Linked DNA regions of Stegostoma tigrinum. The protein of the gene in region 2 interacts with the protein of the main gene of each other region in a pairwise test. Links are inferred from orthologs where the notes say so. Each region holds a gene or a part of one and is shown on either strand. Other genes may lie near its edges.

Region 1 (3,746 bases), on a different chromosome or scaffold from region 2:
TTCCACATTGTAGGAATTCTATGATCCTAGGGATATAAGTACAGAAATGGCTAATGCTGCCTGTTTTCAAGTACAGTTCAGGATACAGTAACAGGTGAACTACATTCGGATAATGGTGAAGAAATTAATACAGGGATGGATGCGAGTATAGGTTGGTGGAGTATATGAAGAGAGTACGTGAGTTCTGGATGTGAGTTTGCTCGCTGAGCTGGAAGGTTAGTAGAAAACTAACCTTCCAGCTCAGCGAGCAAACTCACATCCAGAACCTCAACCTGAGCTACAAATCTTCTCAAAATTCGCTAGAGCATGTGAGTATAAGTGAGAAAGTGACTTCAGCTACAAAGAGAACACAGAGTGTAAAGACAAGTACAGGTGCAGATCATAGAGAGGATATAGGCACAGGTGAGAATATGTGATGCAAATGAGGAATGAAGGTTCAATTGAGGACTTGGCTAGAGGTATAGATATAGATCCTGGGTACAGATATGGTGAGGATATACTTGCAGGTGAAGGTGCAGGCCTGGTTGAGGTGCTGATAAAAGGTGCTATCACTGTTGAGAATGCAACTGCAAGGAAGAGTAGCTACTATAGGTAAGGGTATGGTTGCAGATGCCACATAGATGAGATGAGATTCTGGTGTGGCTATGGGTAAGGATGCAGGGTATGGGTGAGCATACCCTGTACAGATATGTTGATAAAGGTGACGGTTATGGGTCTGGGCAAAACTACAGGTAAAGGGGGATATGAGTGAGGATAGCAATGTGAAAATGGATGAAGGTACATATGCAAATATGAGTCGGCTATCAGGGTGATAGGGGTGTGGATACAGCTGCAGATATGAGTGGATACACCGTCGTGATTGGGGTACAAATCTCACAAACATGGGCCTCCATCCAATCAGAGCCTTGGAGACGCCAATCCCGCCTAGCTCCCTCATTGGTAGTCGTCACGAGTACACGCGTGCAGCACGCCCAACTCGTCGCCGGGCGACAGCCAACCAGCGCCAGGGGAGATATTGGACCAATCAGCGGCGGGTTATCATCCCGTCCCCCGCCACGGCAAACAGATCGAAAGGCAGGAACCCCGGTGACAGACAGGCGGCGGTGCAGCCAATCGACATCGAAAGCGGCGGATGTTCCGCCCTTCCACATGGCGGGACCATGTGTCTCCAAGCGACCAGTGAGGGGGCGGTGACGGGAGGGCGGACGAACTAACCAATCGGATAATGTACTTTGGTAATGGGCGGGCAGAGGGGCCAATGGTACTGAAAGGCTTAGTGATAGACGACAGCACTGACCAATTGAAGTGAAAGAAGCTGTAACGGCTACCAGACCGACCAATCGAGGTGGAGAGTTGATGATTGACGGTTGGGCTGACTAATCGGGTGGAGGGGGTGGTGACGCAGGGCGGGGCGGGATTGTGGAGGAGAGGAGGGGGATGTTGTTGTTGTGGAGTCGGTTGTGGTGATTTTGCCGGACGGCACAGGGCAGCTCGGTTCGACTGGTATCCGCTATCACAGCGGCATCGCACGGATTGTCTCCCGGTGCAGGTTTGTCTGTCGGCGGGCGGGGGTCACTCACACGGCGGACCGCAGACGGCAGACACTGAGCCCTGGGTGGAGGACGGGGCTGGGGGGCAATGGCGGTCATCGCCCTCCTGTCAGTTTGTGTCCGCCGGGGGCAGCTTGCTCAGGCTTTCACACAGCACTCGGGGCTGGCTGAGCTCGACACCTTCCTCCATGGGGGAGGGAGCCTGGACATGCCCCACAGGGTAATCCTCCCAGTGTCTGTACAACACAACAGGACTGGGGGAGGGGGATCTGTTTTGGGGGGGGGGGGAGGAGAGGATCTCCGGGAGAAGGGGATCTGTTTTGTGGCCGGGAGGAGAGGATCTGGTGGGGAGGGGGATCTCTTTTGTAGGGGCAAGGACAGGATCTCTGGGAGAAGGGGATCTCTTTTGAGGGGGGAGGAAAGGATCTCTGAGAGAAGGGGATCTCTTTTGAGCGGGGAGAAGGGGATCTCTTTTGAGGAGGGGAGGAGAGGATCTCTGGGAGAAGGGGATCTCTTTTGAGCGGGGAGAAGGGGATCTCTTTTGAGGAGGGGAGGAGAGGATCTCTGGGAGAAGGGGATCTCTTTTGAGAGGGGAGGAGGGAATCTCTTGAGGGGCGAGGAGGGGATCTCGGAGAAGGGGATCTCTTGCGGGGAGGAGAGGATCTCAGGGAGAAGGGGAATCTCTGGGGTGGAGGAGAGGATCTGTGGAGGAGGAAGGGTGCTGGGGGGGAAGAGGATCTGTGGAGGAGGAGGGGGTCTGGAGGGGAGGAGGATCTGTGGATGAGGAGGGGGTTGCTGGGGGTGGAAAAAGTTCTTATTGATTGATTGTATTGTTGCTGTGGGTGGGGGTTTGTTTGTTGTAGATGTGTGTTGTCGTTGGGGGGGCGTATGTTATGGGTTACAGGGGTTTCTGGTGGGCATGTGTTTCTTGGGTTTGTGGTGTATGAAGAGGTTGGGTTATTGTAACTGTTACCAAAATATATTGTGGGTGGCGTTGTGCTGAATTTGTGGGTAGGGAATGAGGTGGATGGTATTGCCATACTCTGCTTAGTGTAACACGCTGAATGTATGGATGGCTGACTGACAGGCAAACAGATTTTCTGAAGGCTAGTACAGACAGTCAGCATTATGAACAGCAAGAGCATGAATGCTAGGACCCCAGATCTGCAATCTTAAGTTCCCATCTGTGAGAGTCCATCTCCCTGATCTATGGACATGTTTGAGATTGTTCACAGGGCTAGTGATTCCACTCTGACAGGCAGTGTTGTGTAGTTTAAAAACAAACACAAAAGTTGGCCATTAATCTGCTCACTGATGTAAACTTCTTAAGGGGGTGGAGCTCCTGCAGAATCCATGCAGCATTTGCCAGAATTTTCTTGACTGTAAAATTTCGAGTAGAGGGTGTCCTCTTTCTTTCAAGGTCACTTTTTTCTACTGAGATTGCCGTGTACTTTAGGTAGTAGTCAGGGAGGGGTGAAAACATTTGAATCAGTATCTCGTACACTGGGTTATAAGATTTCCCATTAATGTAGAATTGATCCAGAGTCTAGTAAGCTGTTGTATTTTTCTTCAACCCTCCCTTCCATATGATTGAGAGACATCCAGAACCAATGCGTGGTGTTATTTTAAATCCTGCTGCTTGGATCTTTCAGAATATACAGAATAGAAACAGGCCATTTGGCCCACCTGGCCTGTGCTGGTGTTGGGCCTCCTCATGTGTCTCCTTTGGCGAGCTGATTTTAATCCGCCCACTGTTAATGTCTGTGTCTTCTGTTACCAGGCCCCTAAGCTTTGAAATTCTCCGACTGTTTCAGTGAAGCTCTCATTAAAACCCACTGCTCATACATGTTTTTAGTCATTTGCTGTAATAACTCGTAGCTTGGTATGAAACATTAATGTTTTTGTGAAGGATTGGAACTTTCCTAATAAAGGTGCTATATAAATGGACATCATTTTAATTTGAACCCAAACAACAAGTCCTTCTATTCCTTTCTGCCACATGTTTATCCAGCTTCCCTTTTATGGCTGCTTTTTGTGTTAGTCAGTTCCTCATTCTGATCCCTGTCCATATAAAGAAGTTTCTCCTAAAGTTCTTTTCTTTTAAATTTTTAAATTCCCATCTTTTACTTAAAACGGTGATCCTGGATTCTTCCATCAGTAACTATTTACCCTATTGAATCTCTCATAATACGAAAG
Region 2 (3,746 bases):
ATGAAAATTGAGAAAATGCAATTTCAATCTCCAATCAAGTAGATAAAATGCAACATGACAATTGTGGATCTTTCCTCCCGTTCTGTTGCTGTTAGGGACAGGTGTACATGGCTCCATAAGGGATGTGTTAGTAGGTGCCCGATATGTAGCACAGGTCAGCTGCATTGCAGCAATGTCTGTCATGCGGTGACTAAAGATGCAAAGTAATGACTCATGGTAATTCCAATATCTAATAGGGCTATAGATAACCAAGCATGGAGCTGGAGGAACACAGCAGGCTAGGCAGCATCAGAGGAGCAGGAAAACTGACGTTTCGGGTTGGCACCCTTCTTCAGAAGGGTCCCGAACCAAAATGTCAGCTTTCCTGTTCCTCCAGCTCCACACTTTGTTATCTCTGACTCCAACATCTGCAGTTCTTGCTATCTAATAGGGCTATGTTTCTTTTAGTTTCAGGCCAAGAAAGAACAAGAGAACAGTGCCCATTATTCAAAGGGGGTGGCGAGAGAGCAATCTCTGGAACAAGGAACTATTTTTTCACAATTGACTCCCAGAAAACAAACTTTTAAAAGTTGTACAGCTTTAATCAAAGAAAAACAGTGGCAGTACTTGTCTAAGTGTCTGGATTGCAAACTTTTATTTTACTTGAAGTAATTTACTATGTGTGAAGTGCTTCAAAACGTATCTTGATAAATGTGATAAGATGTTGTATAAATGCAAATTTTTCAAAGACTTTGTCTTTATACGTTAGTTTCAATCATCTTCCATTGGGGACAGATTTTATGAGGCTGTAATCAAATATTTTCCATCGGCACAGGATCATGAACATGTAACAAAACGATTAGGCCTGGGGTAATTTCAGATGGTGCACTTTTGCTGCCAGCTTAAGACCAATCCTGTGGTGCAGGTTCTTGTTACCTCTGTGTGGATCACTGGATTCGGTGTCTGTTGCCAAGTTCACCTTGGGGCCACATGGCAGCCGACAGACAATGTTGCCGTCTCCCTCAGTGTTTGGAGGTAATGCGAAGTAGAAATCCATAAGTGAGAGGAAATTGGAAATAAATAGAAATTAATTCGCAAATGGAATGAAAATAGGGGAAATGGGTGAGAATTCTAATGTACAAAGAGAAAATTGGGAGAAATGGGAGCGACAGTGCGAGGAAGTTAAACCAAATGGGAGTAGAATTCTCAAATGGGTGGTAGGGGGAGAATGAGTGAGAGGAAAATGAGGGGAGAATGAAGAAAATGAGAATTCCCTAAGCAAATAATGCCTTGAGCCGCAGTGTCATCAGAGAAAAAGTGTCTCCTCCATTTTAAAGAAGGACACAGCACATCAAGGATCAAACAGAATGGAAAATATATTAACAATATTTCTGACATTACCCTGCTGTACTGCGAGCTCTCTTAAACAGCAGAACACATTCGTCCGGCCCTCGGAATCCGGAACATCGACACCTCAGCTTCCGGGGCTCGGGATGCATTTTTATTTTTGGTTTCTCCGTCGGTTTGTGTCAAAGTGAAATACGCGGAGGGGACTCAGAGCGGACTGTTCCTCCCCCCACAGACCACAGCTCGAGGCGGCCGGGAGGTGGGGATGGGGAATAGCTAGGCCTCAGCGACCCCGAAGGAGGAAGAAGGTGGGTTAAATGTCGACGTTATGAGGCCAAGGATCTGAGTGACTCCTTCGGGCTTCAGCGCTGTCTGTTCCCGGCACCGACCACCGCCATCGTCCGGTCCCGGAGCCGGTTGCTAAGGGAGGAAGGGGTTTACCTCCCGTTGCTAAGCGAGGCCCCTTCCTCCCGTTGCTACGCGCCCCTCCTCCAGTTGCTATGCGGGGCCCCGGCGTGGAGGATGCATCCAGCTCCCGAGGAGATGTCTTGGTCTCGGGGAGATTGATGACAAATTGTCCGGGGATCCAGGGATTTCCTGTTTAAAATCTGCAGCGGACCAATGGGAGTTGACGGAAACAACAAGGCCTTGGAGTTTAGAAGAGTCAAAGATGATTTCTAAGATGTAAGATCCTGAGAGAACTTGACCTGGTGGACGATTTCTTCTTGTGGGAGAATCTAGAACTAGGGGTCACGGTTTAAAAATAACAGATCACTCATTTAAAATGGACGGGGTTGGGGGGGGGGGGGGGTTGGTGGAGGTGAAATGAGTGAGAGTCTCTGAAATTACTTTTATCCAAAAGGAGTTTCTGATGAAGGGTCTAGGCCCGAAACGTCTGCTTTTGTGCTCCTGAGATGCTGCTTGGCCTGCTGTGTTCATCCAGCCTCACGTTTTGTTATCCCAGAATCTTTACATGTTGTTTGAGGAGGCGGTAGCTGGATACTTGATGACCAAGGGAATGAAAGATTATCGGGGTCTGCAAGAATCTGGAGTTGAGGTTAAAATCAGATCAGCCTTAATCTTATGGAATGGTGGAGCAGGCTGAAAGGGCCAAGTTAATGGTAGGGCCTGGAGAGTGTTGTCGAACACTGGAAAGGCTTACAGGTTCAAGTACATAGCTCCTTGAAAGGGGTGTGACATTTAGACAGGTTGGTGAAGAAGTTATTTGGGACGCTTGCCTTCATTGGTCAGAGTATTGAGTATAGAAATTGGGACATCATGTTATGGTTGTACAGGACATTGGTGAGGCCACTTTTGGAGTACTACGTACGATTCTGGTAGCCCTGCTAATAAGAAGGATATTATTACATTGGAAAAGGATACAAAAACAAACTTACAAGTATGTTACTAAGACTGGAGGATTTGAGTTATAAGGATAGGTTGAATAAGCTGGGACTTTCACATTGGATCATAGGAAGCTAAGGAGTGACCATATAGAGGTTTATAAAATCATGAGGGTCATAGATAAGGTGAATAGCAAAGGTCTTTTCTTTATGGTAGGGGTGTTCAAAACTAGAAGGCATATTTTTAAGATAGCAAGAACTGCAGACACTGGAATCAGAGATAAAACAGCGTAGAGCTGGAGGAACGCAGCAGGCCAGGCAGCATGAGAGGAACAGGAAAGCTGGCATTTCAGGTTGGGACCCTTCGGTGAGAGAGGAATTATTTAAAAGGACCTGAAAGGCAATTTTTTCACACAGTGGGAATGATCTGCCAGAGGAAGAGGTAGATTCAGGTACAGTTACAACATTTAAAAGACATTTGGACGGGCACATGAATAAGAAGGGTTTAGAGGATTGTGAGCCAAATGCAGGCAAATTTGAGTAGTTTAGTTTGGGAGAGCTAGTTGGCGTGGACCAGCTGGACCGAAGGGTCTGTTTCGATGCTGCATGATACTATGACTCGATAAATAGCCTACTTTTATTCCTTATTGGTACATATGCATTCTGGTACCCTCTGGTTGGGGTGGATATGCGCACAAACCAATTTGTTTCCTTTTCCTGGACAATCTTGCAGTATTGGAACAGGATGTGTAAGGAAATATTCAGATTTCCTCACTTGAAATCTTTAAGACCCATTTTAGATGTTATTTCCATTTAAAAGTTTCTCATTAATATTGCCACTGTATCAGCAGGGCATGTTCAAGCTCTCCCTCATGATTATAAATAGTTTTCACAAATCTCTGCCCTCACCCTCCCCAACATCCCACACACATATATCATCTCTGCTGTACTGAAATAGAAAATCTTATCACATACAAAGGCAGAACCAGGGCAGGCTAAATAATTAAGCCTTTCTGACAGCTAATTCGAAACAATGACTTGAGTTCGGTAATTTTCCAGATTTTATAGTAATGCATA
Region 3 (3,746 bases), on a different chromosome or scaffold from region 2:
GGCAGCCCCTGGACCGAGATCCTCCCCCCCAGAATCTATAGGCAGCCCCTGGACTGAGATCCCCCACCCCCGGAAACTATAGGCAGCCCCTGGACAGAGATCCCCCACCCCCGGAATCTATAGGCAGCCCCTAGACCGAGATCCTCCCCCCCAGAAATCTATAGGCAGTCCCTGGACCAAGATCCTCCCCCCGCCCCCCGGAATCTATAGGCAGCCCCTGGACAGAGATCCCCCACCCCCGGAATCTATAGGCAGCCCCTGGACAGAGATCCCCCACCCCCGGAATCTATAGGCAGCCCATAGACCGAGATCCTCCCCCCCCAGAAATCTATAGGCAGCCCCTGGACCGAGATCCTCCACCCGCCCCCCAGAATCTATAGGCAGCCCCTGGACCAAGATCCTCCCCCCGCCCCCCAGAATCTATAGGTAGCCCCTGGACAGAGATCCCCCACCCCCGGAATCTATAGGCAGCCCCTGGACCGAGATTCTCCCCCCGCCCCCCAGAATCTATAGGCAGCCCCTGGACAGAGATCCCCCACCCCCGGAATCTATAGGCAGCCCCGGACAGAGATCCCCCACCCCCGGAATCTATAGGCAGCCCCGGGCAGAGATCCCCCACCCCCAGAATCTATAGGCAACCCCGGATAGAGATCCCCCCCGGAATCTATAGGCAGCCCCGGACAGAGATCCCCCACCCCCGGAATCTATAGGCAGCCCCTGGACAGAGACTGCCTTCCCACGAAGACTGGGGGAAGGGGCGGCTTCTCTCTAAGCCCAGAGGCTCCATCACTGTGACTGTTCAATGGGAACAGGGACGGACGGGGGGGGAACAGGGACGGACGGGGGGGGAACAGGGACGGACGGGGGGGGGAACAGGGACGGACGGGGGGGGAACAGGGACGGACGGGGGGGGAACAGGGACGGACGGGGGGGGAACAGGGACGGACGGGGGGGGAACAGGGACGGACGGGGGGGGAACAGGGACGGACGGGGGGGGAACAGGGACGGACGGGGGGGGAACAGGGACGGACGGGGGGGAACAGGGACGGACGGGGGGGGAACAGGGACGGACGGGGGGGGGGCCGAGGGGACGGACGGGGGGGGGCCGAGGGGACGGACGGGGGGGGGGGAGGGGGGAGAGGGGACGGACGGGGAGGGGGGAGGGGGGAGGGGGGAGGGACGGGGAGGGGGGAGGGGGGAGGGACGGGGAGGGGGGAGGGGGGGGACGGGGAGGGGGGAGGGGGGGGACGGGGAGGGGAGGGACGGGGAGGGGGGGGACGGGGAGGGGGGGGGACGGGGACGGGGGGGGGGGACGGGGGACGGGGGGGGGACGGGGGACGGGGGGACGGGGGGGGGACGGGGGGCGGGGGGGGACACGGACGGGGGGGGGAGGGAGGGGGGAGGGAGGGGGGGAGGAGGGAGGGGGGACGGGGGGGGAGGAGGGGACGGGGGGGGAGGAGGGGAGGGGGGGGGAGGGGGGGAGGGGGGGGGAGGGGGGGGACGGGGGGGAGGGACGGACGGGGTGGGAGGGAGGGGGGAGGGAGGGGAGGGAGGGGGGAGGGAGGGGAGGGAGGGGGGGAGGAGGGAGGGGGGGACGGGGGGGGAGGGGGGGGAGGGGGGGGAGGGGGGGGAGGGGGGGAGGAGGGAGGGGGGGACGGGGGGGGGGAGGGGGGGGGGAGGGGGGGGAGGGGAGGGGGGGGAGGGGAGGGGGGGACGGGGGGAGGGGGGGAGGGGAGGGACGGGGGGGGGAGGGGGGGGAGGGGAGGGACGGGGGGGGGAGGGGGGGGAGGGACGGGGGGGGGAGGGGGGGGAGGGACGGGGGGGGGAGGGGGGAGGAGGGAGGGGGGGACGGGGGAGGAGGGAGGGGGGGACGGGGGGGGGAGGGGAGGGGGGGACGGGGGGGGGAGGGGAGGGAGGGGGGGGACGGGAGGGGGGGGACGGGAGGGGGGGGACGGGAGGGGGGGGACGGGAGGGGGGGAGGGGAGGGAGGGGGGGACGGGGGGGGAGGGGGGGACGGGGGGGGGAGGGGAGGGAGGGGGGGACGGGAGGGAGGGGGGGGACGGGAGGGAGGGGGGGGGACGGGAGGGAGGGGAGGGAGGGGGGGGAGGGGAGGGACGGGAGGGAGGGGGGGGGAGGGGAGGGAGGGGGGGACGGGGGGGGGAGGGAGGGGGGGAAGGGAGGGGGGGGACGGGGGGGGAGGGAGGGGGGGGACGGGGGGGGAGGGAGGGGGGGGACGGGGGGGGCGGGGAGGGAGGGTGGACGGGCGGGGAGGGAGGGTGGACGGGCGGGAGGGGAGGGGGGGGGGAGGGACGGGAGGGGGGGGTGGACGGGGGAGGCAGATACACATAAAGGCTCGAACTCAGGGACTGATCCCCGGCGCCGGTATAACTCCGGTTCCTCCCCCCCCCCCCCCCCGGCACTTACACACTCCGCCGAGTACCCCCACGATCCGGCACAGCCAGCGGTACCACCAGGTCATGGGGTCCCCGGTACCTGACCCGGGCGCAGGCCTCGGCCCATCGTCAGACCCGGGCTCCGCGAACCCACTCCCCGCATCCGACATCGTCGCCGTGAACCCGTCCCGAAGTGCGTCTGCGCAACGCGACCTCAATAGGCGGAGCCACCACTGAACCACGTGTCATTGGGCACTTAATGGGCGGGTTCAGCTCCACGGCAAAGTCGCATGCGCAGTGCCCTGAAAAGTGGCACGTTCAGTGTGCAAGAGGAGAGATCTCAGACAACGCGGTGTAGAGCCGGATGGACATGGCAGGACCAGCAGCCTTCCTGCTCCTCTGATGCTGCCAGGCCTGCTGTGTTCATCCAGCTCTACACCGTGTTATCTCAGATTCTTCAGCATCTGCAGTTCCTACTATCTAAGGGAGATCTCAATGAGTTTTAATTTAGAAACACCATAGCACAATCCAGCAGAGTTAACATAGCTGTATAACAGGAAAATCATTTTTTATAAATGTAATAGAGTATTTTGAAGCTGCCGTGAGCCAGATGATGCAGTGTATTTGGATGTCCAAAAGGCATTTGAGAAGATGCAATATAAAAGGGTTAGGGGAGTGATGTAGCACAGATTGAGGGCTGTCTAACTAACTCAAAACAGATAAAGAGATAATCTCTGTCTCCATCACGTCTATTCTGACGATACCACCTTCCTCAGAGATGCCTCAGAAACCTTCATCTTTATCCCCCAACAAAGATTCCCTGCTACTACAATTGACATCCATGTCCGACCCATTCCCCGCTCTCCTGCCATCACCCTTTCTGTCCCACAATAATGATACCAACTTCCACATCCAAAGGGTTATATGCCACCATTCTGTCAACTCCAGTTGCTTGCTACCACCAGGTACATATTCGCCTTCTCTCCCTAGTCAGCACTCCGCAGTGACTGTTTCCTGTGGTACACTCTGGCCCACTCGTCAATTTCCAACACCTCCCAAAACTTACAGCACCTTCCCCTGTAATCGCAGAAGGTGTAACACCTGCCCGCTTACATCCTCTGTCCTCATCATTCAAGGTCCCAGACATACCTCCCAGGTAAGTCAGTGATTTATCTGCACATCACTCAATCTAATTTACTGTATTCGCTGCTCACAATGTGGTCTCCTCTGCATTGGAGACATGAAGCGCAGATTGGGTGACCACTTTACAGAATACCCAAGTTCTGTCTGTAAAATTGACCCTGAGCTTCCAATTGCCTGCCGCTTCAACGCACCACTGTGTTCCCATGCCAA

What was found.
Region 1: the proteins of lipid droplet assembly factor 1-like (region 2) and coq8aa interact in binary tests that used the Homo sapiens proteins (3 or more experiments, as listed by UniProt). The two-hybrid records come from large-scale screens. The link is inferred for Stegostoma tigrinum from reciprocal best matches to the Homo sapiens genes LDAF1 and COQ8A.
Region 3: the proteins of lipid droplet assembly factor 1-like (region 2) and cacfd1 interact in binary tests that used the Homo sapiens proteins (3 or more experiments, as listed by UniProt). The two-hybrid records come from large-scale screens. The link is inferred for Stegostoma tigrinum from reciprocal best matches to the Homo sapiens genes LDAF1 and CACFD1.

What each region holds. Positions count from the first base shown.
Region 1 is NC_081357.1:9,938,215-9,941,960, reverse strand, and holds the start of coq8aa (atypical kinase COQ8A, mitochondrial), read left to right. Parts: upstream 1-1,421; 5' UTR 1,422-1,549; intron 1,550-3,746. UniProt on the Homo sapiens protein: Atypical kinase involved in the biosynthesis of coenzyme Q, also named ubiquinone, an essential lipid-soluble electron transporter for aerobic cellular respiration.
Region 2 is NC_081376.1:49,103,222-49,106,967, reverse strand, and holds the start of lipid droplet assembly factor 1-like, read left to right. Parts: upstream 1-891; 5' UTR 892-1,014; intron 1,015-1,303; exon of another isoform or gene 1,304-2,105; intron 2,106-3,746. UniProt on the Homo sapiens protein: Plays an important role in the formation of lipid droplets (LD) which are storage organelles at the center of lipid and energy homeostasis. In association with BSCL2/seipin, defines the sites of LD formation in the endoplasmic reticulum.
Region 3 is NC_081382.1:43,821,727-43,825,472, reverse strand, and holds the start of cacfd1 (calcium channel flower homolog), read right to left. Parts: upstream 2,586-3,746; 5' UTR 2,564-2,585; coding exon 2,425-2,563; intron 1-2,424. UniProt on the Homo sapiens protein: Transmembrane protein which mediates synaptic endocytosis and fitness-based cell culling.